Linked DNA regions of Anolis sagrei. The protein of the gene in region 4 interacts with the protein of the main gene of each other region in a pairwise test. Links are inferred from orthologs where the notes say so. Each region holds a gene or a part of one and is shown on either strand. Other genes may lie near its edges. The genes, in order: TSC22D4, POLR2J, CCDC33 and POLR1C.

Region 1 (6,976 bases), on a different chromosome or scaffold from region 4:
GGGGAGAGAGTCACATTCTCTCAGCCTTGGAAGGAAGCTATTGCAAGGAGATCTGGCCCGGGGAAACCTTAAGCGAGGGCCGTCCTGAGTCGGGAAGGACTTGAAGGCATGCAACAATAACGGAGGGAGAATCACCCAAAGGCATGGGACCATGATAGAGGAACCATAATAGAAGCTCTGGCTTTATTATGGTTCCACGCCTCTATGCAGAGACCCTCACTGATTGACTTTGCAAACTTCAGAGCTTCTATCTATTTATGGAATGTCCAGGCTCCCTCTATGCAAAATACCCTCAGTGATTGACTTTGCAAACTTCAGGGCTTCTATCTATCTATGGAATGTCCAGGCTCCCTCTATGCAAAATACCCTCAGTGATTGACTTTGCAAACTTCAGGGCTTCTATCTATCTATGGAATGTCCAGGCTCCCTCTATGCAAAATGCCCTCACTGATTGACTTTGCAAACTTCAGGGCTCTTAAAATGCTAATTCAAGCTTACCAACTGCAACAGACAAGGGTTCTTTCTCCCACCCTGTTTGGGAAGTGGCTAGGCTACCTCTATGCAGATATCCTTACTGATTGACTTCGCAAACTTCAGAGCTACTCAAATGCTAATTCAAGCTTGCTAATTGCAACAGGCGAGGGTTCTTTCTCCCATCCTGTTTGGGAGACGGCTAGACTATCTCTAGAGACTCTTACTGATTGACTTCACAAACTTCAGAGCTATGCAAATGCTAATTCAAGCTTGCTAATTGCAACAGGCGAGTGTTCTTTCTCCCACCCGTTTGGGAGCTGGCCAGGCTACCTCTATGCAGAGACCCTCACTGATTGATTTCACAAACTTCGGGGCTACTCAAATGCTAATTCAAGCTTGCTAATTGCAAGATGCAAGGGTTCTTTCTCTCATCCCATCTGGGAGCCGGCTAGGCTACCTCTATGCAGAGACCCTCACTGATTGACTTCACAAACTTTGGGGCTACTCAAATGCTAATTCAAGCTTGCTAATTGCAAGATGCAAGGGTTCTTTCTCTCATCCCATCTGGGAGCCAGCTAGGCTACCTCTATGCAGAGACCCTTACTGATTGACTTTGCAAACTTCAGAGCTACAATTTTGCCTGAAATCAATTGGGCCCCAAAGGCTTGAATACTGAACCCTGCTCCAAAACTCTATGAGGCCTGGATTTGAAACCGCACACTGGGGAGAGAGTCACATTCTCTCAGCCTTGGAAGGAAGCTACTGCAAGGAGATCTGGCCTGGGAAACCTTAAATGTGGGCCGTCCTGAGTTGGGAAGGACTTGAAGGCATGCAACCATAACGGAGGAAGATTATTGTGGGTTTTTTCGGGCTATACGGCCATGTTCTAGAGGCATTTCTCCTGACGTTTCGCCTGCATCTATGACAAGCATCCTCAGAGGTGAGGTCTAGGTTCTTGTGGGTTTTTTCGGGCTATAGGGCCATGTTCTAGAGGCATTTCTCCTCTTGCCATAGATGCAGGCGAAACGTCAGGAGAAATGCCTCTAGAACATGGCCGTATAGCCCGAAAAAACCCACAAGAACTGAGTGATTCCAGCCATGAACGCCTTCGACAATACAATGGAGGAAGACTCACCCAAAGGCTTGGAACCATGACAGAGGAACCATAATAGAAGCTCTGGCTCTATGATGGTTCCACGCCTTTGGGTGAGTCTTCCTCCGTTATTGCTCCATGCCTTCCAGTTATTCTTCCTCGGTTCCATGTTTTCGAGTTATTCTTCCCAAGACTTTGATGGTGCCAACCAGAGGACGTGGAGGACCACCTGCCCCCCAAACCCAGGCCCACCCCAAAGCCTCACCTTGCGTCGCTCATCCGTCTCCCTCTGGATCAGCTTTGAGACGCTCTTGGGCAGGAGGTGCTCCTCCACCACCAAAGTGGGCACGGTTGGGGCCCCAACAGAGAGGGTCCCGGGATCCCCGGCCTCTTTGGGGACCGAGGCCAGGGGGCTGCGGAGGGAGACCGGGCTGGGGGGAGTCCTGTGGGGCCGGACCATAACCGGGAGACCTCCGCCGAGGGAGCGAGCCTGGTGGCTGGACGTAGCTGGGGGCAACACCAGTTGGGAGTGCAAACCGGCGCAGGCACCTCCAAATCCTCCTCCTCTGCGCTGAGGTTGCGGGCTGAAGGGCCCTTGAGGATGGGTCAGCAGTCCAGCCACTTCCAGCCGGGAGTCCAGAGACTGCGGGTGTCGCCCGGCTTCGGCCAGCCGCCCCACAAAGGGGTGCTGGGGGTGGGATTCGGCTTCGGCGTCGTAGAAGTCCCGGCACGTCCAGCGGCCACGCTTGTAAGGCTCCCCGGGACCTGGGTCCAGCTTCACCACCCGGAAGCGCGAGCCGGACACCAGCGACGGAGCGGTCAACGGGGAGGTGGGGGCCGTGGGGCCATTTCTGGCCGCCCCACCGTTGCCGCCGTTGGCCCGCGGGCCAGCGTCCCCTTCTGCTTCCGTCCCAACCTTTGCGGCGTCCGCTCGTCCTTCTTTCTGCTCGTAGTCCGAAGTGACGCTGGTGATCTGGAACCCGCTCTTCTTCTTGCCTCCGCCGCTCATGGTCCTGGGGGCAACGAGGCGGGGGCTTCACCGAGGCGGCACCGTCGTTGTCCTCCTCATCATCATCATCATCGTCCCCAAATCCTGGCGAGGGGAGAGAGGAGGGTGGAATATCAGTATAGTCTAATTCCTATCGTTATGATTAGCAAGACACCAACGCAGTCCTGAAGCCGACCCCATGCCGGGGTCACAACACAAGGGGGTCAAAGGTCAGGGAGACCCCAACAGAGCTTAGAGATAGACAAAGCCTGGCTTGGGGAAGGGGAAGATTGGGGAGGGGGAAAAAAGAGGGTCTGTCTAGGGGAGGCCGCGACCTCGGTTGGCCCAAGGCAAGGCTGTTGACAAGGCGAAGCAACCGAGGAGTGACACCCGAAGCAGCAGAAGCAGCAGCAAGGAAGTCAGTCCGGCCCCTCCTTCCTTCCTTCCGTCAGTCCTTCCTTCCCAACCAGCTGACTGCCTGCCCCTCCCCTCCCCTCCCTTGCCCTCCCCCCAAGGCTGGCCCAGCCCCCCTTAACCCCTTCCTTCCCGGAGCCCAGCAAAGCAAGGCCAAGAAGGCCCAGAGAGAAGAAGCACGCACAGGTATGGGCCAAATTGGGCTCTCCATCCAGGTAGCTTGGACTCCGACTCCCACCATTCCTCACAGCCTCAGGCCCCTTCCTTTTGCCCCTCAGCCGCTTAAGCGGCTGAGGGGCAAAAGGAAGGGGCCTGAGGCTGTGAGGAATGGTGGGAGTCGGAGTCCAAAACACCTGGACGGAGAGCCCAATTTGGCCCATACCTGCCATGCAATGAATACAGTTTCACCCCACATTGCTACATTTATTTACACTTCCTTTTCTCTTTCCCAAAGGGGATTCAAAGTATCTTGACATATAAACATTAGTATACAATGTATTCTTGAAGGCTTTCCTGGGTTGCTGTTGAGTTTTTAAGGTCTGTACTAGCCATGTGCCAGCAGCATTCTCTCCTGATGTTTCACCTACATCTGTGGCTAATGGCATCTTCAGGGGTCTGTTCAGAAGCAAGGGGAGTCTGTCTATCGATTGATCTATCTATCTATTTATCTATCTATGGAATGTCCAGGCTACCTCTATGCAAAATACCAAACTACCCTCACTGTGCAAAATACCCTCACTGATTGACTCCAGCAGCATTCCCTCCTGATGTTTCAATCAGTGGCTAATGGCATCTTCAGAGGTTTGTTCAGAAGCAAGGGGAGTCTGGCTGTCTATCTATCTATGGAATGTCTGGGCTACCTCTTTGCAAAATACCAAACTACCCCTGTGCAAAATACCCTCACGGGTTGACTTTGCAAACTTCAGGGCTCCGCAAATGCCGATTCAAGCTTGCCAATTGCAACAGACAAGGGTTCTTTCCTCCCACCCTGTTTGGGAGGCACTGACTTTGCAAACTATCTATGGAATGTCCAGGCTACCTGTATGCAAAATACCCTCAATGATTGACTTTGCAAACTTCAGGACTTCTATCAATCTATGGAATGCCCCGTTTGGGAACCGGCTAGGCTACCTCTATGCAAAGACTCTCACTGATTGACTTTGCAAACTTCAGAGCTACTCAAATAGTAATTCAAGCTTGCTCATTGCAACAGGCAAGGGTTTTTTCTCCCACCCCGTTTGGGAACCGGCTAGGCTACCTCTATGCAAAGACTCTCACTGATTGACTTTGCAAACTTCAGAGCTACTCAAATAGTAATTCAAGCTTGCTCATTGCAACAGGCAAGGGTTTTTTCTCCCACCCCGTTTGGGAACCGGCTAGGCTACCTCTATGCAAAGACTCTCACTGATTGACTTTGCAAACTTCAGAGCTACTCAAATGGTAATTCAAGCTTGCTAATTGCAACAGGCAAGGGTTCTTTCTCCCACCCTGTTTGGGAGATGGCTAGTCTACCTCCACGCAGAGACCCTCACTGATTGACTTTGCAAACTTCAGGGCACATGTCTGTGTTTTGGATGAGTTGGGGACTCGGTGCGGCTTACGTGAGGCCGAGCCCAAATTACATCAGTAATCAAAACAATAACAACAACAATAATAATGGCATCTTCAGAGGTTTGTTCGGAAGCAAGGGGAGTCTGTCTATCCATCTATGAAAATGTCCAGGCTAGGTGCAAAATATCCGTGAAGGTATAGAGGTCTAAGCAAAATACCAAACTAACCCTGTGCAAAATACCCTCACTGATTGACTTTGCAGACTTCAGGGCTCCGCAAATACCGATTCAAGCTTGTCAATTACAACAGACAAGGGTTCTTTCCTCCCACCCTGTTTGGGAGGCATTGACTTTGCAAACTTCAGGGCTTTTATCCAACTATGGAATGTTCGGGCTACCTCTATGCAAAATACCCTCACTGACTGACTTTGCAAACTTCAGAGCTATGCAAATGCTAATTCAAGTTTGCTAATTGCAACAGACAAGGGTTCTTTCTCCCACCCTGTTTGGGAGATGGCTAGGCTACCTCCATGCAGAGACCCTCGCTGATTGACTTTGCAGCTTCCTGGCTACTTAATGCTAATCAAGCTCACTAATTGCAACATCTACCCTTGCTTCACAAAGACACGGGCTTAAGCGGCGGAGGGGGAAAAGGAAGGGGCCTGAGGCTGTGAGGAATGGTGGGAGTCGGAGTCCAAAACACCTGGACGGAGGGACCAATTTGGCCCATACCTGCCATGCAATGAATACAGTTTCACCCCACATTGCTACATTTATTTACACTTCTTTCTCTTTCCCAAAGGGGATTCAAAGTATCTTGACATATAAACATTAGTATACAGTGTGTTCTTGAAGGCTTTCCTGGGTGGAAGGCAAAAGGAAGAGGGGCCGACCAAGGGCAAGACGGATGGATGGCATCCTTGAAGTGACTGGACTGACCTTGAAGGAGCTGGGGGTGGTGACGGCCGACAGGGAGCTCTGGCGTGGGCTGGTCCATGAGGTCACGAAGAGTCGGAGACGACTGAACGAATGAACACACATACAATGTGTTCTTGAAGGCTTTCCTGGGTTGCTGTTGAGTTTTTAAGGTCTGTACTAGCCATGTGCCAGCAGCATTCTCTCCTGATGTTTCACCTACATCTGTGGCTAATGGCATCTTCAGGGGTCTGTTCAGAAGCAAGGGGAGTCTGTCTATCGATTGATCTATCTATTTATCTATCTGTGAAATATCCAGGCTAACTCCATGCAAATACCCTCACTGGTTGACTTTGCAAACTTCAGGGCTTCTATCTATCTATGGAATGCCCAGGCTACCTCTATGCAAACTACCCTCACTGATTGACTTTGCAAACTTCAGGGCTACTCAAATGCTAATTCAAGCTTGCTCATTGCAACAGACAAGGGTTCTTTCTCCTACCCCGTTTGAGAGCTGGCTAGGCTACCTCTATGAAGAGACCCTCACTGATTGACTTTGCAAACTTCAGAGCTACTTAAATGGTAATTCAAGCTTGCTAATTGCAACAGGCAAGGGTTTTTCTCCCACCCTGTTTGGGAACCGGCTAGGCTACCTCTATGCAAAGACTCTCACTGATTGACTTTGCAAACTTCAGAGCTACTTAAATGGTAATTCAAGCTTGCTAATTGCAACAGGCAAGGGTTCTTTCTCCCACCCTGTTTGGGAGATGGCTAGGCTACCTCCATGCAGAGACCCTCACTGATTGACTTTGCAAACTTCAGAGCTACTTAAATGGTAATTCAAGCTTGCTAATTGCAACAGGCAAGGGTTCTTTCTCCCACCCTGTTTGGGAGATGGCTAGGCTACCTCCATGCAGAGACCCTCACTGATTGACTTTGCAAACTTCAGAGCACATGTCTGTGTTTTGGATGGGTTGGGGACTCAGTGCGGCTTACGTGAGGCCGAGCCCACAATACATCAGTAATCAAAACAATAATAACAACAACAATAATTGCATCTTCAGAGGTTTGTTCGGAAGCAAGGGGAGTCTGTCTATCCATCTATGAAAATGTCCAGGCTAGGTGCAAAATACCCGTGAAGGTATTTTGCACAGGGTTAGTTTGGTATTTTGCATAGAGGTCTATACAAAATACCAAACTAACCCTGTGCAAAATACCTTCACGGGTTGACTTTGCAAACTTCAGGGCTCCGCAAATGCTAATTCAAGCTTGCCAATTGCAACAGACAAGGGTTCTTTCTCGCACCCTGTTTGGGAGGCATTGACTTTGCCAACTTCAGGGTTTTTATCTATTTCTGGAATATCCAGGCTACCTATATGCAAAATACCAAACTACCTCTGTGCAAAAATACCCTCACTGATTGACTTTGCAAACTTCTGGGCTTTTATCCATCTATGGAATGTCAAGGCTACCTCTATGCAAAATAGCCTCACTGGTTGACTTTGCAAACTTCAGGGCTTTCTCCTATCTATGGAATGTCCA
Region 2 (7,188 bases), on a different chromosome or scaffold from region 4:
TCTTGTGCTCCAGCGGGTGGGGGACCTTGTAGCCCGCAAACAGCACCTGCGGGTCCTTCAGCAGCTGCCTGCAAGGAAACACCAGAGGCACTCCAAGTGGCCGGCTTCTGTTCAAAGGACATTTTGTCCTGATCTGTTGTTTTCTAGAGAAGAAATTACCTCACAGACTGACTGGAAGGGCTTTATTTCTCAAAGTATACAGTATGGTTACAAACAAAGTTCCATCTGACAGTTGGTTTCCCTCTCACCTCATATCACAGACCACCTACTACATTTAATACAATGCCAAGTTATTAAATTTGTGGTTTTAAATACATTATAACTGTACCTTCAACTCGCTTCTGACAGGATAAATAAATAAATTTTAATTCTCTGTGATATGGGGAAGCTTCCAAAGCTTTCATGGCAAAATGCAAGAGCCATCGTCGTTGTCATCATCATCATCCTTAGTGAAATGTGGAAGCTTCCAAAGGCTTGATGGCAAAATGCAGGTGTCTTATCCTCATCATCATGACCCCTCTTTACTTACGATTTAATGATGTTCCCGAGCGTATGGTCTTCCTTGTTAATGGTGAAGAGGCAGGCATTGGGGACTTTGGTGTCCTTGTTGATGGTAATCCTGGAAGGAAAATAAACCAGGAAAAGCCTCAGGCACATATATAGACAGCTCAGTATCAATATGAAGACAATATTTGAGAGGTCACTTTAAGGAGATAGCTTTCTCTTGAAATAAGGATCCAATGGCGGAATGGGATCAAATGGCAGGAAAAGAGATCCCACCTCAACATGAGGAAGATGGTCATAAGATATAAAAGAATAATAACATAATATATAATAAATAATATAATGTACAGTAAGAATAGAATAGGAAAGGGTAAGGATAAAACCACAAATAATATGTCACCTCTAGACTGGACTACTGCAATGCGCTCTACGTGGGGCTGCCCTTGAAAACGGCTCGGAAATTCCAATTGGTCCAACGGGCAGCAGCCAGGATGTTAACGGGGGCCCATTACAGAGAGAGGTCAACCCTCCTGTTTAAGGAACTCCACTGGCTGCCGTTTATTTTCCGAGCCCAATTTAAGGTGCAGGTGCTTACCTACAAAGCCCTGAACGGTTTGGGACCACCCTACCTGCGTGACCGCATCACAGTCTACGAACCCACACGCTCACTCCGGTCATCAGGAGAGGCCCTGCTCGTGATCCCGCCCGCGTCGCAGGCGCGTTTGGTGGGGACACGGGACAGGGCCTTCTCTGTGGTGGCCCCCCACCTCTGGAATGCCCTCCCGAAAAATCTCAGACAGGCCCCTACCTTGGCGGTTTTCAGAAAGAACCTGAAAACCTGGCTGTTCCTACGTGCCTTCTCAGATTAGGACCCCCACTACCAAAGCCCAGAAGCACTTTAGTAGAGTCAAGATCACCCTCACCGCACACTGCACTTATATTTTAATCCCATATCCCTCCGACACTTCAGCACTTTTTAACCCTGTACCTCACTCTGGCCGGCTCAGTTTTTAATAATGTTCTGTTGTACTGCTACTGTTATTGTTTTCTGCTTTAACTGTTTTAATTTGCTATGTATTGTATTGTTGTATTGTGTTGGGCTCCGGCCTGTCGTAAGCCGCATCAAATCCCTTGGGAGATGCTAGCGGGGTACAAATAAAGTTATAATAATAATAATAATAATCTAATTTAAAATAAGAATTATATATTTATATTATAGAAATAAAAAGAAGGTATATGTATAAAAGAAAAATAAAATAATATCCAATCTAATAAATAATATAACATAGTTTAGAGTAATAATTATATAGGATAATATACAATATATACATAATATAATAATAAAATAAGAATAGAAAGAATATATATTAAAAATAAGAATATGAGTATATGTAAGAATAATATAAAATAATATGTAACAATAAATAATATAAAATAATATATATATATTCTAATACTACAAAATACTATAAAATAGAAACAATATATAATACTATAAAATAAAATATAAATATATCATAAATAATATAACAAAATTTAAAATAACTATTATTACATAGTAATGATGTAAAACAAGACATATATATTTATATTGTAATATGCATATATAATAATATAAAAAAGAATAACATATATAATACCATAAAATATAAAACTAGACTATATAATATAATAAATAATATAACAATTTAAAATAATATATTATATATAATAAAATAATAAACAGTAATATAAAAGAATACTATAATACTAGATATAGGGGTAATATCATGAAATATATATATATTATAATATAAAAATAATATGACTATATATAATAAATAAAATAATTTATAATATGATAAATAATAAAACAATTTAAAATAATATATATTATATATAATACAAAATAATACATAGTAACATAAAATAATACTATAAAACAAGATATAGGTGTAATACTATAAAAGAAGTATATAGATTATATTATAAAAATAATATAAAATAAGAATAAATAATATAATATAGCAATTTAGAATAATAAAGATGTGCATGTTATAATATAAAATAAGAATTATAGAAATATAGTATAAAATAAGAATTTACAATATATATATAATATTAATATAACAATTTAAAATATTAAAATATAACAATATAAAATAAGAATACATCGATATCATAATAATACTATATATATATATATATATATATATATATTACTATGAAATATGAATGAAATAATTATCTCTATCAAGGTACAGCCTTTAGGCCCGCTTCTCTGGTAGTTTTGCCACAGAGACAGCCCGGCCATCTGTCGGGACGGGTTGGATGGTGCCCCGCCTGCCTGGCCACAGCGGGGGTGGGCCTGGGTGGTCTCTGGAGGCCCCTATTATCCCGGTGGAGGGAACTCACTTTTTCTCCCCTTCGAAGAGCAAGAAGGACTCAAAGGCCGGAGGAGCGTTCATGGCTGGCGCTGGTCTTTCCTGGCGCTTCCGGCTCCGCCCCTTCCGGTTCTTCCGCGCTAAGGGCGCGAGCGTGAGGCCTCTTCTGGCCTTCCTTCCTTGCGCGCGCCCCCCCTCTGGAGGCCCCCGGCGGTACTGCAGGCTCTTCGTGGAGTCAGGTCAGGGCCCTCCCTCCTCCCTCCCTCCAGGTCTTTGGGACTTCAGTTGTGAGAGGATTTCGGAGGTGGGGGGGGGGCTGAAGCCCCCCGAGCCCCCCCCCCCCGGCTACATGCCTGTAGACAGACATAAAAACAGATAGATAGATTGTCAGATAAATAGTCAGATAGATAGACAGCCAGGGAGTGTGATAGCTAGAAACACATAGATAAATAGATAGATAGATAGATAGATAGATAGATAGATAGATAGATAGATAGATAGATAGATAGATAGATAGATAGATAGATGTTCAGATAGATAGATAGATAGATAGATAGATAGATAGGCAGTCAGATAGATAGGCCAATAGATAGATAGATAGGCCAATAGATGATAGATAGGCCAATAGATAGATAGATAGGCCAATAGATGATAGATAGATAGACAGTCAGATAGATAGTCAGATAGATAGACTGACTATCTGATATAGATATAGATCATCTGATATAGATCATCTATTGGCCTATCTATCTGACTGCCTATCTATCTGACTATCTATTTATCTATCTGAACATCTATCTATCTATCTATTTATCTAATTTTATACATGACTATCTATCTATTTATCTATCTATGTGTTTCTAGCTATCACACTCCCTGGCTGTCTATCTATCTGACTGTCTATCTGACTGTCTGTCTATCTATCTATCTATCTATCTATCTATCTATCTATCAGACTGTCTATCTGATAGATAGATAGATAGATGATAGATAGATAGATAGTCAGATAGATAGATGGATGGATGGGTGGATAGATGGATGGATTGGATGGATGGATGGATAGATAGACAGACAGTCAAGTAGATAGATAAATAGATTGATAGTCAGATATATAATCAGATAGATAGATAGACAGTCAGATAGATGGATAGATGGATAGATAGATCGGCAGTCAGATAGATAAATAGCTAGATAGTCAGATAAATAGTCAGATAGATAGATAGGCAGATAGCTAAGCAGTTAGATATATAGTCAGATTGATAGATCGATAAATAGGTCGATAGTCAGATATATAATCAGATAGATAGACAGTCAGATAGATAGATAGATAGATAGATAGTCAGATAGATTAATAGATAGTCAGATAGATTAATAGATAGTCAGATAGATTAATAAATAGTCAGATAGATAGATAGACAGATAGATTGATAGATTTAGAACCTCCGAATAAATAGACAAACTTGAATTGGAAAATGACCCAGTAACGGTCCAAGACGATGGAACGGATAAGGACTTGAATGAGAGGACATAGTTTTTTTGTTTTTAAAATTGTTATTATGCCCTATCTTTATGTTTAAATGCATTATAATGGTTACTTTTGTTTATCAATGTATGCATTTTTATGGCATCGAATTGTGCCGACTGTGTATGCCGCTCTGAGTCGCCTTCTGGCTGATATGGGCATGGCAGAAATAATGCAAATAAATAAATAAATAGTCAGTTAGATAAATAGATAGATAGCTAGGTAGATAGATAGTCAGATAGATAAATAAATAGATAGTTAGGCAGATAGATATATAGTCAGATTGATAGATAAATAGATCAGTAGTCAGATAGATATATAATCAGATAGATAGATAGACAGACAAATAGTCAGACAGATAGGCAGTCAGATAGATAGATATAATCAGATAGGTAGATAGCTAGAGAGACAGATAGGCAGTCAGATAGATAGATAGTTATAGATACATCTATTTGGTGAAGCAGGGGAATGCTAAATCAACCTAAAAGTCAATCTCTCCAGATTCGATTTCAAAAAAGAGACAGATAGATAGATAGATAGATAGAGAGAGAGAGAGATAGATAGATAGGAGGCCAAATATGTGTCTCTTGAAATCAATGTCTCTATCTTTCTGCCTATTATTTAATAGATGCAGATGTGGAAGGCCTAGAGCCGACCTCCTGCCTTTCCCCATTCTGATGCGGCCCTCCTCCTCCTCCTCCTCCTCCTCCTCCTCCTCCTCCTCCTCGAGGATTATGGGCTTTGCTGTCCGCTGACCGGATCTGCCTGACGTGAGCTCTGCGTAATCCGGACACCCACCCATTCACTCAGCATCTGGCACTCTGGAAACCAGCAGCAGTGCCAACATCTGGAGGACTTTAAGCCCCGGAAAGCGAGGACATCCTGGGCACTCGGGAGAGCGCCTTTGCTTTTGTTTTTTATGAATGCTCCCATTAGAAAATGCATAAGGATGTGGGTGAACTACAATTCCCAAAATTGTGGGTCAGTCCTCCCTAAAGTCTGTCATTATTTACAGTTGGGTCTGTGCGCAAAGTTTGGTCCAGATTCATTGTTGGCTGGCTTCAGAGGGCTCTCTGAATATGGGTGAACTATAACTCCCAGATGCCAAGGTCAATCACCCCCAAACCCCTCCAGTAGGCAAAGTTGTCTGTGTTGGGTCTGTGTGCCAGGTTTGATCCAGATCTGTCATTGGTGGAGTTTGAACGCCTCACTTAATACAGGTGAACTATAACTCCCAGATTTCAAAGACAATCATCTCCTAACCTTTAGGCACAGTCATGTTGTCTCTGTGTGCCAAGTTCAGATCCCTTGTCGGCTGGGTTCAGTGCTCTCTGGATAAGGGTGAACTACAACTCCCAGAATTCAAGGTCAATTACCCCTCACCAGGACGTAAAGTGTGTGTGTGTGGGGGGGGGGGGGGTTCTGTGCCCCAAATTTGTTGTAGGTCAATCATTTGTGGGAGTCACAGTGCTTTCTGGAAGTGGATGAAGGTACTTCAAATCCCATCATCCGTGGTCCATCCTCCCCCCAAACCTCACCAAGATGTAAAGTGGGTCTAACCCCATTAGTGAGTGAAGGTACTGCAAATCCCATCATCCATGGTACAATCTCTTCCAAACCTCATCAGGACATAAAGTGGGTCATGGGGGGGGGGTGTTATTGCGCCAAGTTTGGCCCAGGTTCGTCATTCGTGGAGGTCGCAGTCTGTGGCAGTGAGTGAAAGCGCTGCAAACACCATTATCTGTGGTTCATCCTGCCCCAAATTGCACCAGGATGGAAAAAAGAAGGAAGGAAGGAAGGAAAGAAAGGGGGAAAATAGGTAGGAAACAAGGAAGGAAGAAAGGAAGGAAAGAAGGGAGGAAGGAAAGGAGGTAGGGAGGAAAGAAAGGGAAAGGGAAAAAAGGAAGGAAAGGAAGGGAAAAAAGAAAAGGAAGGTAAGAGGGAAAGGTAGGGGAGGGAACAAAAGAAAGAAGAGAAGAGGAAAAGAAGAGAAGAAAGGAGGGAGAGAAAGAAAAGGGGTAGATATGAGAAGAGGGGAGGAAAGAAAGAAAGAAGGAAAAAGAAGGAAGCAAGGAAAGGAAAGGTAAGGAGAGAGGGAGGAAAGAAGAAAAGAAGGAAGGGAAGGAAAGGAGGGAGGAATGAAGGAAAGAAAGAAAGAAAGGAAAGGAGGTAGGGAGGGAAAAAGTAAGCAAGAAAAGGAAAGAAGGAAGCAAGGAAGGAAGGAAAGAAAGAAAGAAAGGAGGTAGGGAGGGAAGAAGTAAGCAAGGAAAGGAAAGAAGGAAGCCAAGAAGGAAGGAAGGAAAGGAGGTAGGGAGGGAAGAAGGCAGCAAGGAAAGAAGCAAGGAAAGGAAAGAAGGAAGGAAGGAAGGAAGGAAGGAAAGGAGGTAGGGAGGAAAGAAGGAAGGAAGGAAAGGAGGAAGGGAGGAAAGAAGGAAGGAAAGCCAGAAGGAAGGAAGGAAAGAAGGAATGAAGGAAAAAAAGAAAGGAAAGGAGGTAGGGAGGGAAGAAGGAAGGAAGGAAGGAAGGAAGGAAAGGAGGTAAGGAGGAAGGAAAGGAACGAAGGAAGGAAGGAAAGAAGGAAGGGAAGGAAAGGAGGAAAGGAGGAAAGAAGGAAGGAAGGAAAGCCAGAAGGAAGGAAGGAAAGAAAGAAGCAAGGAAAGGAAGGGAGGAAAGAAGGAAGGAAGGAAGGAAGGAAGGAAGGAAGGAAGGGAGGTAGGGAGGGAAGAAGACAGCAAGGAAAGAAGCAAGGAAAAGAAAGAAGGAAGGAAGGAAGGAAGGAAAGGAGGTAGGGAGGAAGGA
Region 3 (7,029 bases), on a different chromosome or scaffold from region 4:
GGGCCAGAAATCCATCTCATTTCATGAGAAGGTCTTGGGCATTATGCTTAACGAAGCCCAAAATATAAGCCAGGGGATGGGAACCCTCAAGATGCAGTTGGACTTCAACTCCCAGCGTTCCTTATCACTGGTCATACTGGCACAATAGAAGCTCTACTTAACAAGACTTCAAATAGTCTATGATTGAAGGCAGGTATGGGCATATCTGGCCCCTTGGGCTCTTTTCTCAGGCCCTCCTCTCTCTCACCATCCTATCCTACCTTCGTTCTTTCCTTCCTTCCTTCTTTCTCCTTCCTTTCACCCTTTCGCATTTCCTTCTTTCCCTCTCTTCCTCTTTCTCATTCCTTGCTTCCACCCTTTTGTCCTTCCCTCCCTTTCCTCCCTCCTTATTCCTTCATTCCCTCTTTCGCCATTCATCCTTCTCTTCCACCCTTTCATCCTTACTTTCCTTTTGTCTTTCCTTCCTTCCCCATTTGTCCCTCTTTCATCCTTCCTCTCTTTCCTTCCTTCCTTCCTCCCCTTTTGTCTTTCCTTCCTTTCCTCTCTCTTTCTCCCTCTTTCTCCTTCATTCCTTCCTTCCTTTCCCTTTGTCTTTCCTTCCTTCTCTCTTTCCTTTATCCTTCCCTTCCTTCATCATTCCACTCCTTCCTTCGTTCCATCATTCTCTTCCTCCCTTTCATCTTTCCTTCCCTCTCTCTTTCTCCTTCCTCCCTTCCCTTTTGTCTTTCCTTCCTTCTCTCATCCCTTCATTCCCTCTTTCTCCCTCTCTTTCTCCTTCCTTCCTTCCTTCCCCTTTGTCTTTCCTTCCTTCTCTCTTTCCTTTATCCTTCTCTTCCTTCATCATTCCGCTCCTTCCTTCGTTTCATCATTCTCTTCCTCCCTTTAATTGTTCCTTCCCTCTCTCATTCCTTCCTCCTTTCCTCCCTCCCTTCCTGATCTCTTTCGCCCTCCCTCTGTCCTTCCCTTTCATCTTTCCTTCCCTCTCTCTCTTTCTCCTTCCTCCCTTCCCTTTTGTCATTCCTTCCTTCTCTCATCCCTCCCTTCCCTCTCTCATTTTCCCTCTCTTTCTCCTTCCTTCCTTTCCCTTTGTCTTTCCTTCCTTCTCTCTTTCCTTTATCCTTCCTTCAACAGTCTGCTCCTTCCTTCGTTCCATCATTCTCTTCCTCCCTTTCATCGTTCCTTCCCTCTCTCATTCCTTCCTCCTTTCCTCCCTCCCTTCCTTCCCGACTTCTTTCTCCCTCCCTCTGTCCTTCCCTTTCATCTTTCCTTCCCCCCTCTTTCTCCTTCCTCCCTTCCTTCCATTTTTGTCTTCCCTTCCTTCTCTCTTCCCTCCCTTCCCTCTCGCATTCTCCCCCTCTCTCTTTTTCCTTTCTTCCTACCTTCCTTCCTTTCCCCCTGACTTTCCTTCCTTCTCTCTTTCCTTTATCCTTCCCTTCCTTCATCCATCCCTTTCTTCCTTCATTCCATCCTTCTTTTCCCTCTTACTTCCTTCTTTCCTTCTCTTTTTCCTTCCTCCTTGCCTTCCTCCCTTTCATCCTTCCTTCCTTCTCTTCCTTCTCTTCCTCCCTTCTCTTTTTCCTTCCTCCTTCCCTTCTATCCTTCCTCCCTTTTGTCCTTCCTTCCTTCTCCCTTTCCTTCCTCCTTCTCTCCCTCCCTCCCTCCCTTCTCTTTTTCCTTCCTCCTTCCCTTCCATCCTTCCCTTCCTCCCTTTTGTTCTTCCTTCCTTCCTTCTCTTTTTCCTTCATCTTTCCCTTCCTTCCTGTCCTCCTCGCAGGGAGTGTGGTCCCCAAGTTAGAAGGTTGGCCCGGCCCTGATTTAAGAGGATAGAGAACGTTGATGATGGGAATGAATTCCTGGTTTTGAGGCCCAGAAGCTCCGACATGGATTAGGTCATTGTTGTGTTTCCTTTGATCTGGTCCCACCAGGGGATTTTCAAACGGTTCACGGATGGTGGTGTCATCCTTCACCTGCCCCCCTTTCCCTGTTTTCCTGGCCTTTAGTCATGGTCCTTCCAGTAACGGAGACGGGGCCAGGGTGGACTTTCCCAGCAACACGGCACTACGGCGAGTCATCACAGCTGAGAAGAAAATGATGTGATGTTCTTACTTTATGCTGATATAGAATCATAGAATCATAGAATCAAAGAGTTGGAAGAGACCTCATGGGCCATCTAGTCTAACCCCATTCTGCCAAGAAGCAGGAATATTGCATTCAAAGCACCCCCGACAGATGGCCATCCAGCCTCTGCTTAAAAGCTTCCAAAGAAGGAGCCTCCACCACACTCCCTCCGGGACAGAGAGTTCCACTGCTGAACAGCTCTCACAGTCAGGAAGTTCTTCCTAATGTTCAGATGGAATCTCCTCTCTTGTAGTTTGAAACCATTGTTCCCTTGTGTCCTAGTCTCCAAGGAAGGAGTAAACAAGCTTGCTCCTTCCTCCTCCCTGTGGCTTCCTCTCACATATTTATACATGGCCCTCATCATATCTCCTCTCAGCCTTCTCTTCTTCAGGCTAAACATGCCCAGCTCCTTAAGCCGCTCCTCATGGGGCTTGTTCTCCAGACCCCTGATCTGCTCCCTCCTCCCTGTGGCTTCCTCTCACATATTTATACATGGCTATCATATCTTCTCAGCCTTCTCTTCTTCAGGCTAAACATGCCCAGCTCTTTAAGCCACTCCTCATAGGGCTAGTTCTCCAGACCCTTGATCAGGTTCGCAGCTTGGGAGTGATCCTGGATTCATCGCTGAGCCTGAAGCCCCAGGTCTCGGCAGTGACCAGGGGAGCATTTGCACAGCTTAGGCTTGTGCACCAGCTGCGCCCGTATCTTGGGAAGTCTTGGCCACGGTAGTCCACGCTCTGGTTACATCCCGCTTAGACTACTGCAACGCTCTCTACGTGGGGTTGCCTTTGAAGACAGCTCGGAAGCTCCAACTAGTCCAACGCTCGGCAGCCATGATTTTAACAGGAGCGGAGCGCAGGGAGCATACAACCCCCCTGTTGCGCCAACTCCACTGGCTGCCGATCTGCTACCGGGCTCAATTCAAAGTGCTGGCGTTGGCCTTTAAAGCCCTAAACAGTTCCGGCCCAAGCTACCTATCTGACCGCATCTCTGCCTATGAACCCACCAGGAGTTCTTGGAGTTTGAAGCCATTGCTCCATTGCGTCCTAGTCTCCAGGGAAGCAGAAAACAAGCTTGCTCCCTCTTCCTCCCTGTGGCTTCCTCTCACATATTTCTACATGGCTATCATATCCCCTCTCAGCCTTCTCTTCTTCAGGCTAAACATGCCCAGTTCCCTAAGCTGCTCCTCATAGGGCTTGTTCTCCAGACCCTTGATCCTTTTAGTCGCCCTCCTCTGGACACATTCCAGCTTGTCAATATCTCTCTTGAATTGTGGTGCCCAGAATTGGACACAATATTCCAGATGTGGTCTAACCAAAGCAGAATAGAGGGGTAGCATTACTTCCCTAGATCTAGACACTAGGCTCCTCTTGATGCAGGCCAAAATCCCATTGGCTTTTTTTGCCGCCACGTCACATTGTTGGCTCATGTTTAACTTGTTGTCCACGAGGACTCCAAGATCTTTTTCACACGTACTGCTCTCGAGCCAGGCATCCCCCATGACCAAGAGATATGACCTTGGGGGTCCCCCATGACCAACAGAATATTACTGTATTTTCTGATGGTCTTTGGCAACCCCCCTGATACTCCTTCATGACCCCCCCCCCGGGTCCCGACCCCCTATGATGAGAGACATTAACCTAGAGATTCCTCGTGATAACATTTTAATCAAACCTGTGAAGAATCCAATCTATAAAAGTCACAATTGCAAATGTGGAGGGATAACTGTCCTTACCTTTTTGGTTTTCATTTCACAAACAGGTTTCTGCAAGAACGACAAGAACCACGATGCCCGCCTGCGCATCGAAGCCTTGCGCCTCCGTGGGTCTTCTCTGAAGGGGGCCATCAAGGCCGGCGAGGCTTTCTTTGCCATCTACCCGCGCACCAACCAGCCGCGCATGAACCTGTTTGCCGGCCGAGACGAAGACGTGTATGGCTACAGCGACATCCTGGTGCTGCTGCGAGTGGGTCCAGACGATCTGGCCATGCACTGCGGGAGGATGGCCTTCACCGTGTCCTTCCACGAGCACCGACCAGTGGCCCAGAGGAAGAGGCCCATCACGCCCCGCCGCCTCTCGCCGTTGCCTCCCACCAAGGCGGAGGAGCTGCCCGAGGGAGAGGAAACCAGTTCCCTGTCTCCTTCCCAGTCTCTGCAGGTCCCTCGCTTGGTCTATCCAGTCTCCACCTCAGAAACTTCCACTTCGCTTTTATTCAGCATGGAACCCCACACCCCCCAGGTTAGGAGAAGAGTGAATTTTTGTCACAACATTTCGTTTCTTGGGAAGGGAAAAAGGAATTGGCATGACATCGTTGCTGGAGCATTGAACTCCATCAGCATTATTGTCCATGATATATATGGGATTCATCGTGAGATATCTTGGAGATGGGACCCATGTATGATGTATACGGAACACATCCTGAGATATCTTGGAGATGGGACCCAAATACCATATATATGGAATCCATCATGACATATCTTGGAGATGGGACTCAAATACGATATATGGGATACATCATGAGATATCTTGGAGATGGGACTCAAGTACAATACATATGGGGTACATCATGAGATATCTTGGAGATGGGACCCAAGTACAATACATAGGGAATCCATCATGAGATATCTTGGAGACGAGAGTCAAGTACGATATATATGGGATACATCATGAGTTTTCTTGGAGATGGGACCCAAATACGATATATAAGGAATCCATCATGAGATATCTTGGACATGGGACCCAAGTACCATATATATGGAATCCATCATGAGATATCTTGGAGATGGGACTCAAATAAAATATATATGGGATACATCATGAGATATCTTGGAGATGGGACTCAAATACGATATATATGGGATACATCATAAGATATGTACAATACCAAAGTACAATACATATGGGATACATCATGAGATATCTTGGAGAAGGGATCCAAATACATATGGAATACATTATGAGCTTTCTTGGAGATGGGACCCAAATATGATATATATTGGATACATCATGAGATATCTTGGAGATGGGATCCATGTATGATATCACATCCTGAGATATCTTGGAGATGGGACCCAAGTACCATATATATGGAATCCATCATGAGATATCTTGGAGGTGGGATGCAAGTACCATATATATGGAATACATCATGATATTTTTTGGAGATGGGACCCAAGTACAATACATAGGGAACCCATCATGAGATATCTTGGGGATTGGATTCAAATAAGATATATAAGGAATACATCATGAGATATCTTGGAGATGGGACCCAAATACGACATATAAGGAATACATCATGAGATATCTTGGAGATGGGACCCAAATACGATATATAAGGAATACATCATGAGATATCTTGGAGACAGGACTCAAGTACGATATGTATGGAATACATCATAAGATATCTTGGAGATGGGACCCAAGAACCATGTATATGGAATACATCCTGAGATATCTTGGAGATGGGACCCAAGTACCATATATATGGAATCCATCATGAGATATCTTGGAGATGGGATCCATGTATGATATGCACGGGAAACATCATGAGATATCTTGGAGATCGCACCCAACTATGAGATATACAGGAAACATCATGAGATATCTCAGCATGTATAGGGTAATTCTACACAAACATAGGGTGCATTTTAACTGATATGGAATTGAATCCTGGAAGATGTTGTTTGACAAGATCTCCAGCCTTCTCTGCCCAACCACATCAGTGCCTCAGCAAACTACATCATCAAGGATTTCATAGCATTGAGCAATGGTAGTGAAATTGAGGTCACACCAAATTAATTCTATGGAGTATATGCACCCACTCAGCCATGAAAACCCACTGGGTGACCTTGGATGAGCTCTAGAAAACCCTTAGGGCTAACTTAAGTTGGAAATGATTTGATGGCATCCAACAACAACAATAGGAAATATTCATGATGTAAAGGATGACATTATGCACAGGAACTGAAATGTATGTACAGTCAGCCCACTCTAGGGGTCTCTAGGTCCTCCAGAATGACTGTATCTGACCAAGAATGACTCTTGGTCAGATCTGGAGGACCTAGAGATTTCCAGAGAGAGATGTTCTAGGAATCTTTAGGTATTCCGATGTGACCTTATGGCAGTGATCCTCAACTTTCCTAATGCCATGACCCCTTAATACAGCCCCTCATGTTGTGGTGACCCCCAACCATAATGTTGTTTTTGTTGCTACTTGATACCTGTCATTTTCCTACTGTTATAAATCATAATGTAAATATCAGATATGCAAGATGTATTTTCATTCAATGGACCAAACTGGGCACAAATACCCAATGCACCCACATGTAAATGCTAGTGGGGTTGGGGGAGGATTGACTTTGTAATTTGGGAGTTGTAGTTGCTGGGATTTATAGTTCACCTACAATCAAAGAGCATTCTGAACTCCACCAGCGATGGATTTGAACCTAATTTGCCACACAGAACTTCCATGACCAACGGAAAACACTGGAAGGGTTTGGTGGGTATTGACCTTGCATTTGGGAGTTGGAGTTCACCTATATGCAGAGAGCATGGTGGACTCATCCAAACTTGGCACAAATACTCAATATGCACAAATGTGAACCTAATTTGCCACACAGAACTTCCATGACCAACGGAAAACACTGGAAGGGTTTGGTGGGTATTGACCTTGAGTTTGGGAGTTGTAGTTCATCTATATCCAGAGAGCACTGTGGACTCACGCAATAGTGGATCTTGACCAAACTTGGCAAAAATACTCAATATGCACAAATGTGAACACTGGTGGATCTTGGGGAAAATAGACCTTGACTTTTGGGAGTTGTAGTTGCTGGGATTTATAGTTCATTACAATCAAAGAACATTCTGAACTCCACCAACGATAGAATTGGCTCAAACTTCCTATATGGAA
Region 4 (7,107 bases):
TAAAGTTCAGATATTCCTTCTAGTTGAGGACATTTAGATCCATTAGATCAGTGGTTCTCAACCTGTGGGTCCCCTTTTGGCCTATAACTCCCAGAAATCCCAGCCAGTTTATCAGCTGTTAGGATTTCTGGGAGCTGAAGGACAAAACTTCTGGGGACCCACAGGTTGAGAACCACTGCATTAGATAAAAATAAAAGGAAGGAAGTCCAATGACTTTGTGAACTCCTGCAAGCTGTTTTAGGTTGAGGAAAAGTAAATCAGAACTTGGGGGAAAATTCACTAGGCTCAAAAGAAGGTGAAATTGTCTCCCTAGTCTCCTGGACAGTCTTTTCACTGGAAAAAATCCTAACTTTAAAAAAAACAACAACACCAAACCAGTGCACACCAGGGGTATATGCATACGGTTTCCAATATAGTCCCACAATTGCCCTCTTCTGACCTAAAGCTTTTCTATAGTGATTAATACTGTTCTCACATTTTAGGATGGGGGAGACTAAATTAGCGATTCTGTAGTTGTACCCTGCTGCTATAAGAACAAGATTACTTTGAGAATTGGAGACAAATCAATGTCCCCCATCCGCCAAAGGCTTCAAACCCTCTAGAAATGTCACATTTCTGTGCATTACCATAGGAGGTCTAAACGTTTAAAACATATGTTGGCAGAGTGGAGTTCTGGGATGGTTTGCAGCACAAAACTCCTCTTTCCACCCCACAAAAACCACTTATCCCATCAATGTTTTGTGACAAGAGGTTTCTGGGAATGTGTGCTGAAGCAAGAGATCTTACTCCTGATTTCAAATTGAAACCATTTTATGGATCTGAGAACAAACATTAGAGGCATGCCTTCTATTTTCAAGACCGTTACAAACTAGTGTCAAAACAATGCCTTTAGACAAACATAGTATCAAACCCAAATGGCTTGCTTGAAGTTGTGGGAAATCTTTGTTTTTCCAGATACACTGGACTGTCATCCCCACAATATCTTGAAGGGCAAGGTAGATCAGAGATTAACCCAAACCAGACTGACAGTCAAAAGTTTATTGCTTCATAGCGAGCGTATATTTCTACAATAAATAACCTTTCAGATGGAAGAGATATTTCTACAGCCTATAGTGCTATGGAGACAGGAAGGTTAGTTAAGTTAGACCATGGAACTAGTGATTATTTAAGATTATTATAAATTCATGGTATAACTAAAATTGTATGGAATTGAATAAAGTCTATTGAAATGGAAGCTATGAAACATGCATATGATCAGGTTGGGCAGGCAGAACAGACTGCCATTTGAAGACCTGGGGTCAAACGGATAATCAAAACATTCAATTAGTTAACTCAAGAATTTTGGCAGAAAAAACCTAATAATCTTTTCTATTTGTACTAGAAAAATTATTGTTTATGGGATAACAATATGTGGAATCCTTTTAACTCATGAATCTGTCCAATTCTGTGTGTAATTCGATGACTTCAACATACAATTGCAAAAAGAGACCATTTAAAGAGGAAGCCCTTTTCCAAAATGGGAGAAAATTTAAAAGACTAAATAAAAGGTATCATCCACATGAGTTAGAAAGTGGCACTTGCACATATGTCTTCCATAGCTGTTGCAATTGCAGGGCTTTTTCAGTTGTTTGTGTAATCAAAGCTGACAAGGCAATAGCTCCACAACAATAACTAAATCTGTGCCTAAAGAAGAAAGCCTAGAGCAAGTGCATGCCATTGGAAAGGTCAGCCACACAAATGTCATTGCAGAGAAGCTGTATTGACAACTCAAATCCGACAATATTACTCAAATTTAACATTTCTGTAGTTTTATCTTACAAGTATATTACAGGCATGAATAAGGAGAACTAAATCAGCCTTATGATGTTTTCATAATTTGAACCAATACTGACATCACTTCAAAGTTCCTGTTAATAATGGGTACATCTCAACTGTAGTTAATGCAATTTGACACCAATGTAATTACTGTGGCTCAATTCAATAGAAATCTGGGAGTCATAGTTTGGTGAGGCATCAACACTATTCAGCAGAGACCTTTTAAAACTCCAGTTCCCAGAATTCCATAGCATTAAGGCATGGCAGTTAAAGTAGTTTCAAGCTACATTTAATTGTTGCATTGGAGATACATTCAATATTATAAATAGAAATACCACTAATAATAAAAATTAGTGCAATCTATCCGGAGATCAGCACTGAGGCTCATCCCTTTAGTATCTAGAATAAAGCTTTCCAAAATGTCATGATATATTATAGTGTCTTGGTTGCAGTGTGTAGGTGTGTTATGTGAATGTAATGAGAAACCTCTGAGTATGTAAAGTAAGCATAATGATATATATTTAAAACTATATGGTTATAAAAGGATGGTTTAAACTCTGGTTTTCCAGTGAAACTGAATTAGTGGCACAAAATGATGCATGCTCCAATTCTGTGGAACTCATTGCCTCCATACATTAGAGCATTGTCGGAGTTGCGACCTTTTGTAAAGGCACTCAAGACTTGGCTGTTTGGTTGTGCATTTAAGTAATCAGATCTAATTTGCCAAATAGTCACTGTTGAATGTTTTTATGTTGAATGTTTTTATATTGTGTAAATGCTATTTTAGATTGTAAGTCGCTCGGAGCACCTTGGTGGAGAGTGACTAATTAAGAAATAAAGTGAAGTCTAAAAAGTGTGTCACCATGAAATGTTTGGAAAGCTCTGCTCTAGAGCTTCCTTCGGCAACAACCCCTTTGATCTCTTATTTCAAAAACTTTATTTGTTATGTTTATTTTTCTCTCTCTCTCCTTTATATATTTTAAAAACGTAGCATATTCACCCGAGCATAATGGGTCATTCAATCTAATGCACATTTTAATTTTTAGCTGTGTAATTTATCCAAAAAAAAGACAAGCATTAGACTTGGGCAAATAATGTACAATTCTGTTATCATTACATTAAAAACACCAGATTTGGGGTTGGCCAAATGAACAGACAGTTACCAGAAGGCATTTCCATAAGTTAGTGCTTAGAACTACTTGAACAGGACACTGCTATTTTTACCCGTATGTACTCAAGTGTAATGCACCATTGAATCTAACAAACACATCAATTTGGACTATATAGCCATTTTAGTCCCCAAAAGGGGGAGCATTAGACTCAAGTAAACATGGTATTTCCTAATACATTTTAGGAGCACCTAAAGGAACTCCAGCAGGTTTTGAAGCTAAGAAGTTACCTCTCAATAGGTGGTTATCTACTAGAGGACTCACTCCTAACTAAGCCAACTAAATAAGTACATTCTCAAACACTCTCTCCTACATTGTTCTATATGACAGGACCTGATCCCAGATTATTTGCTTATCACAGATCATCTGGCAATGGAGACTCATATAATCCAGTTCAACCTGGGGTCAGATTCTGGAACATAAGGACAGTGTAGAAGGGACCTTACAAAACAGGGGCTTTTCCTGCCTGACGTTTTTGAAGCAGAGTTGGCGTCCAAAACACCTGGAAGGGAGGGCCAAGTTTGCCCCTGCCTGGTCTCTGGGCTAACTCCAATGCCGAAAGGTACCTGCATGTTGTCCTCGAAGGCCCCCCACTCGGCCACAGGCCCAGCCCTGGCTCCTCCAGCCGCCGACCCCGAGGGGACGCCTCCGGATCCGGACATCTTCCCTCCGGCTGCGAGGGAGCCTACGCTCCCGCTTCCCTGAGAGGAGAGGCAGGAAAACAGGGCCCAACTGAAGGCGAAGCGAGAAGGACCCGGATGTGACACCCAGCGGCGCTGAGGACGTGGAGGCGCGGCCCCTCTCGCGATATTTTACGGCAGGCGGCCTGTCGCTGGCGCCATCTTAGTTGTCCTCCTGGACAAGCTTAGCGACAACGGGCGAAAAAAAGGCAAAGTTTGTCCTCTCTGTTAAAGAGTGGTGCCTCATAAAACTACAGCTCCCATCATTAATGAGTATTGAGAGCCTTGTCAGTGAAAGGGGTTTCAAGCAGCATGAATTCTACAGCGAAGGAGCGCCACACACAATATGGCGTCCAAAAGGTTACGCGCCGCGTCACGTGACCCCAAGAGAGCGTCGCTTCTGAAAAAAAAAAACCAAAACATCCGGCGGAAGTTGGAAAGTTGATCTTTTCTCCTCCGGCTCACGTTGGTTCCAAGATGGCGGCGCCCGGGAGCGTGGAGGAGATGCGGAGCCGAGTGGTTCTGGGCGAGTTCGGAGTCCGCAACGTAAGTCGGGAAGGGAGAAAGGGAACCAGCAGCAGCAGGGGGGGAGCGAAGGGGCACTTCCAGGAGGCCTGCCTTGGACCCAATCCCCGCCACAGCCAGGCCAGGGAAGACAGCTGGTTCAGCTCACAGAGGGGCCACCAAGGAGGAATCAGTGCCGCTTGGCGCCACTTTCACAGCTGGGGATCAATGCTGTGGCATCTTCCACTCTAAACCAGACCGGACAGGCGAAAGCTAAAGCAGGCCTGGGCCAAGTTGGGCCCTCCAGGTGTTTTGGACTTCAACTCCCACCATTCCCAACAGCCTCAGGCTTGTTCTCCAAACGCTTGTTCATTTTAGTTGCCCTCCTCTGGACACATTCCAGCTTGTCAACCTCTCCCTTCAATTGCGGTGCCCAGAATTGGACACAGTCTTCCAGATGTGGTCTAACCAAGGAAGGAATAGAGGAGTAGCATGACTTCCCTGGGTCTAGACACTGTACTCCTATTGATGCAAGCCAAAATCCCATTAGCTTTTTTTTGCCGCCGCATGACATTGTCGGCTCATATTTAACTTATTGTCCATGAGGACTCCAAGATCTTTTTCACACGTGTTGCTCTCGAGAATTTAATGGCCTTGTAGCTTCAGAAACCATATGCAAATTAGTAGATCAAGTGAGACCTACTAATTGGGCCCTCTAGGTCTTTTGGACTCCAAGATATCTTATTATTCATGTCAAAGCAAATACAGGTATTCCATAAACTGAAAGATCCCAAAACATTTCTGATCTCAAGCAAGCGTTTTGGATAAGGGATCCTCAACCTGTACAGTATAACTTTCAGTGCTCAGTTGGCCCCTTGTGTCCACAAATTCAATTGTCTATGGCTTGAACTAGGGGGATTTTCCTAGCTCTGTCTCAGGCTGACCCTATGATTTTCTCTGCAATGTATATGTTCCAAGCATCACCTCTTCCCCTCTTTTTTTCAGGCCCACACAACAGACTTTCCCGGGAATTATTCTGGATATGATGATGCTTGGGATAGAACTAAGTTTGAAAAGGTGAGCGTACTTCTTCTTAGGTATCTTGAGGGGCTAGCATGATAGATCTTGATAGTAACCAGTAGAGATTTAGAACCTTTGTTTTGTTTCTAGAAATTGCTTTATCTATATAGTATATATTTGTTCAGCCAGTAGTACTGACATGTCTATTGTGAGGTGGAGGGATTTATGGTCCAGGTGTAAAAGATACAGGATAGATTTCAATTCAGCAGGGATTGATAATTGTTGTATCCTGCCTCAAGCTATGTGGAGAGGCAGGTAACAAGTACAATGCATTGTTGTTGTTGTTAAGTGCACTACACAAAGAAAATTCCCTTTGACCTTGGTATCTCTGGGGCCCACAAGCTAAATCTGGAGGATACATATGGCCTGGGAACTGCATTTTGCCCATTCCTGCTGTAGGATTCTCTTTTGCAGAAATACACCTAAAACAGACTGGAAGAAAGTAATTGATGTGAGGATTTGATTGTAAGCTGAATATATTTTTTCAGTGGTGTCGATTACTCAAACACATCCCTGATTGCGAAGTTTTTTTTACTTCTTGTTCTTTTCCAGTGAATATATTTTATCCTTAAGACTACGCCTGTTTTGAAACTGTTTGTTTCTTACAGAATTTCAGAGTAGATATCATCAGCATGGATGAAAGCACACTGGAGTTTGACATGGTGGGGATTGATGCAGCAATTGCTAATGCTTTCCGACGCATCTTGCTTGCTGAGGTATTCATTAGATTAGTACAATGAGTAATAAGGCACTTTTGGGGCATTTCTCTGGGTTATGACTTAGTTGGCTGGGTTTGGCTGCAATTACATTTTTACAAGTACAAGCTGGTCATTCTGAGTTATTCCAGAAGTTTCCCTTAGAAGTAAATAAAATGTTGAAGAAATATTGAGAGGGATGTGTGGTACTGTTTCATTATCCTGATGGAGGCCATTAATGTCATTATTTTATATGGTTTTATATATATGGTTTATGTAGTGTGTTTATACAGTGTTTTGTTTATTGTTTATTTGTCTGGGTTGGGGATGATGTTGTACTCTTGTATTATGTAATTTCTGTTTTTTAACCATTTGTTTGCCACTTTGTGTCTCACCTGTGAGAGAAAAGCGGATAAAAATAAATAAATAATAATAATGATAATTTCTGCTTCTTATAATTTTTACTGCTTTAGACTAAACTTGGTGGAGTGTGCAAAATCCTAATTTGCAGTCATTTAACTATAAGTAAAGTCTTTACAATTATCAGTGGTACGTTCTAGATGGTTTAACCTTTTCTTGGTCAGACCTTCAGGAAATGCATGGCAAATGTGTTAAATTGCCTAGTTTCCTTGTGGAGGCTTGATATATTGCTTAGAAATAAGGGAGTTTTGCCTCTCCTAATATAGTAAAGTAAGACTTTGGATTTACACAGTAGATTTATATTTTAGATCTTCTCGATACATGGCATGAACAAATAGCATTATACCTTCAGAATCCCTAAACAGATTCAGCTGAAATAAATAGATGTGTTTATTTATTGTAGACCGATGCTTTGCGATACTGTGGCTGAATATCTCTGCTTAGCAACAGATTTATTGTCTCTTCCTTAGGTGCCAACCATGGCTGTTGAGAAGGTCTTTGTATATAATAACACCTCCATTGTGCAGGATGAAATTTTGGCTCATCGTTTAGGACTGATCCCTATCTGTGCAGATCCTCGTCTCTTTGAATATAAAAGTGAAGGTAAGATAGCCAAGTATGCATTTGTAGGGGGACCAAAACTGATGAAGCTATGTGCTAAAAGAAGTTAATGCCAGAGCATAGGCTGTGTTTGGAGTTTTCAGTCTCTTTCTTTTCTTCTGCAGAGGATGAATGTGATGAAAT

Evidence for each region.
Region 1: the proteins of POLR1C (region 4) and TSC22D4 interact in binary tests that used the Homo sapiens proteins (3 or more experiments, as listed by UniProt). The two-hybrid records come from large-scale screens. The link is inferred for Anolis sagrei from reciprocal best matches to the Homo sapiens genes POLR1C and TSC22D4.
Region 2: the proteins of POLR1C (region 4) and POLR2J interact in binary tests that used the Homo sapiens proteins (3 or more experiments, as listed by UniProt). The link is inferred for Anolis sagrei from reciprocal best matches to the Homo sapiens genes POLR1C and POLR2J.
Region 3: the proteins of POLR1C (region 4) and CCDC33 interact in a two-hybrid assay, tested with the Homo sapiens proteins (2 studies listed by BioGRID). The two-hybrid records come from large-scale screens. The link is inferred for Anolis sagrei from reciprocal best matches to the Homo sapiens genes POLR1C and CCDC33.

The regions. Positions count from the first base shown.
Region 1 is NC_090026.1:2,044,081-2,051,056, reverse strand, and holds the start of TSC22D4 (TSC22 domain family protein 4), read right to left. Parts: upstream 3,022-6,976; 5' UTR 2,577-3,021; coding exon 1,833-2,576; intron 1-1,832.
Region 2 is NC_090031.1:24,263,204-24,270,391, forward strand, and holds the start of POLR2J (DNA-directed RNA polymerase II subunit RPB11-a), read right to left. Parts: upstream 3,008-7,188; 5' UTR 2,952-3,007; coding exon 2,899-2,951; intron 620-2,898; coding exon 530-619; intron 69-529; coding exon 1-68. UniProt on the Homo sapiens protein: Core component of RNA polymerase II (Pol II), a DNA-dependent RNA polymerase which synthesizes mRNA precursors and many functional non-coding RNAs using the four ribonucleoside triphosphates as substrates.
Region 3 is NC_090029.1:300,467-307,495, reverse strand, and holds the start of CCDC33 (coiled-coil domain-containing protein 33), read left to right. Parts: upstream 1-4,016; coding exon 4,017-4,355; intron 4,356-7,029.
Region 4 is NC_090021.1:49,747,946-49,755,052, reverse strand, and holds the start of POLR1C (DNA-directed RNA polymerases I and III subunit RPAC1), read left to right. Parts: upstream 1-4,096; 5' UTR 4,097-4,141; coding exon 4,142-4,210; intron 4,211-5,173; coding exon 5,174-5,245; exon of another isoform or gene 5,246-5,265; intron 5,266-5,856; coding exon 5,857-5,964; intron 5,965-6,833; coding exon 6,834-6,966; intron 6,967-7,088; coding exon 7,089-7,107. Other genes in the region: protein YIPF3, read right to left, coding at 3,551-3,646. UniProt on the Homo sapiens protein: DNA-dependent RNA polymerase catalyzes the transcription of DNA into RNA using the four ribonucleoside triphosphates as substrates.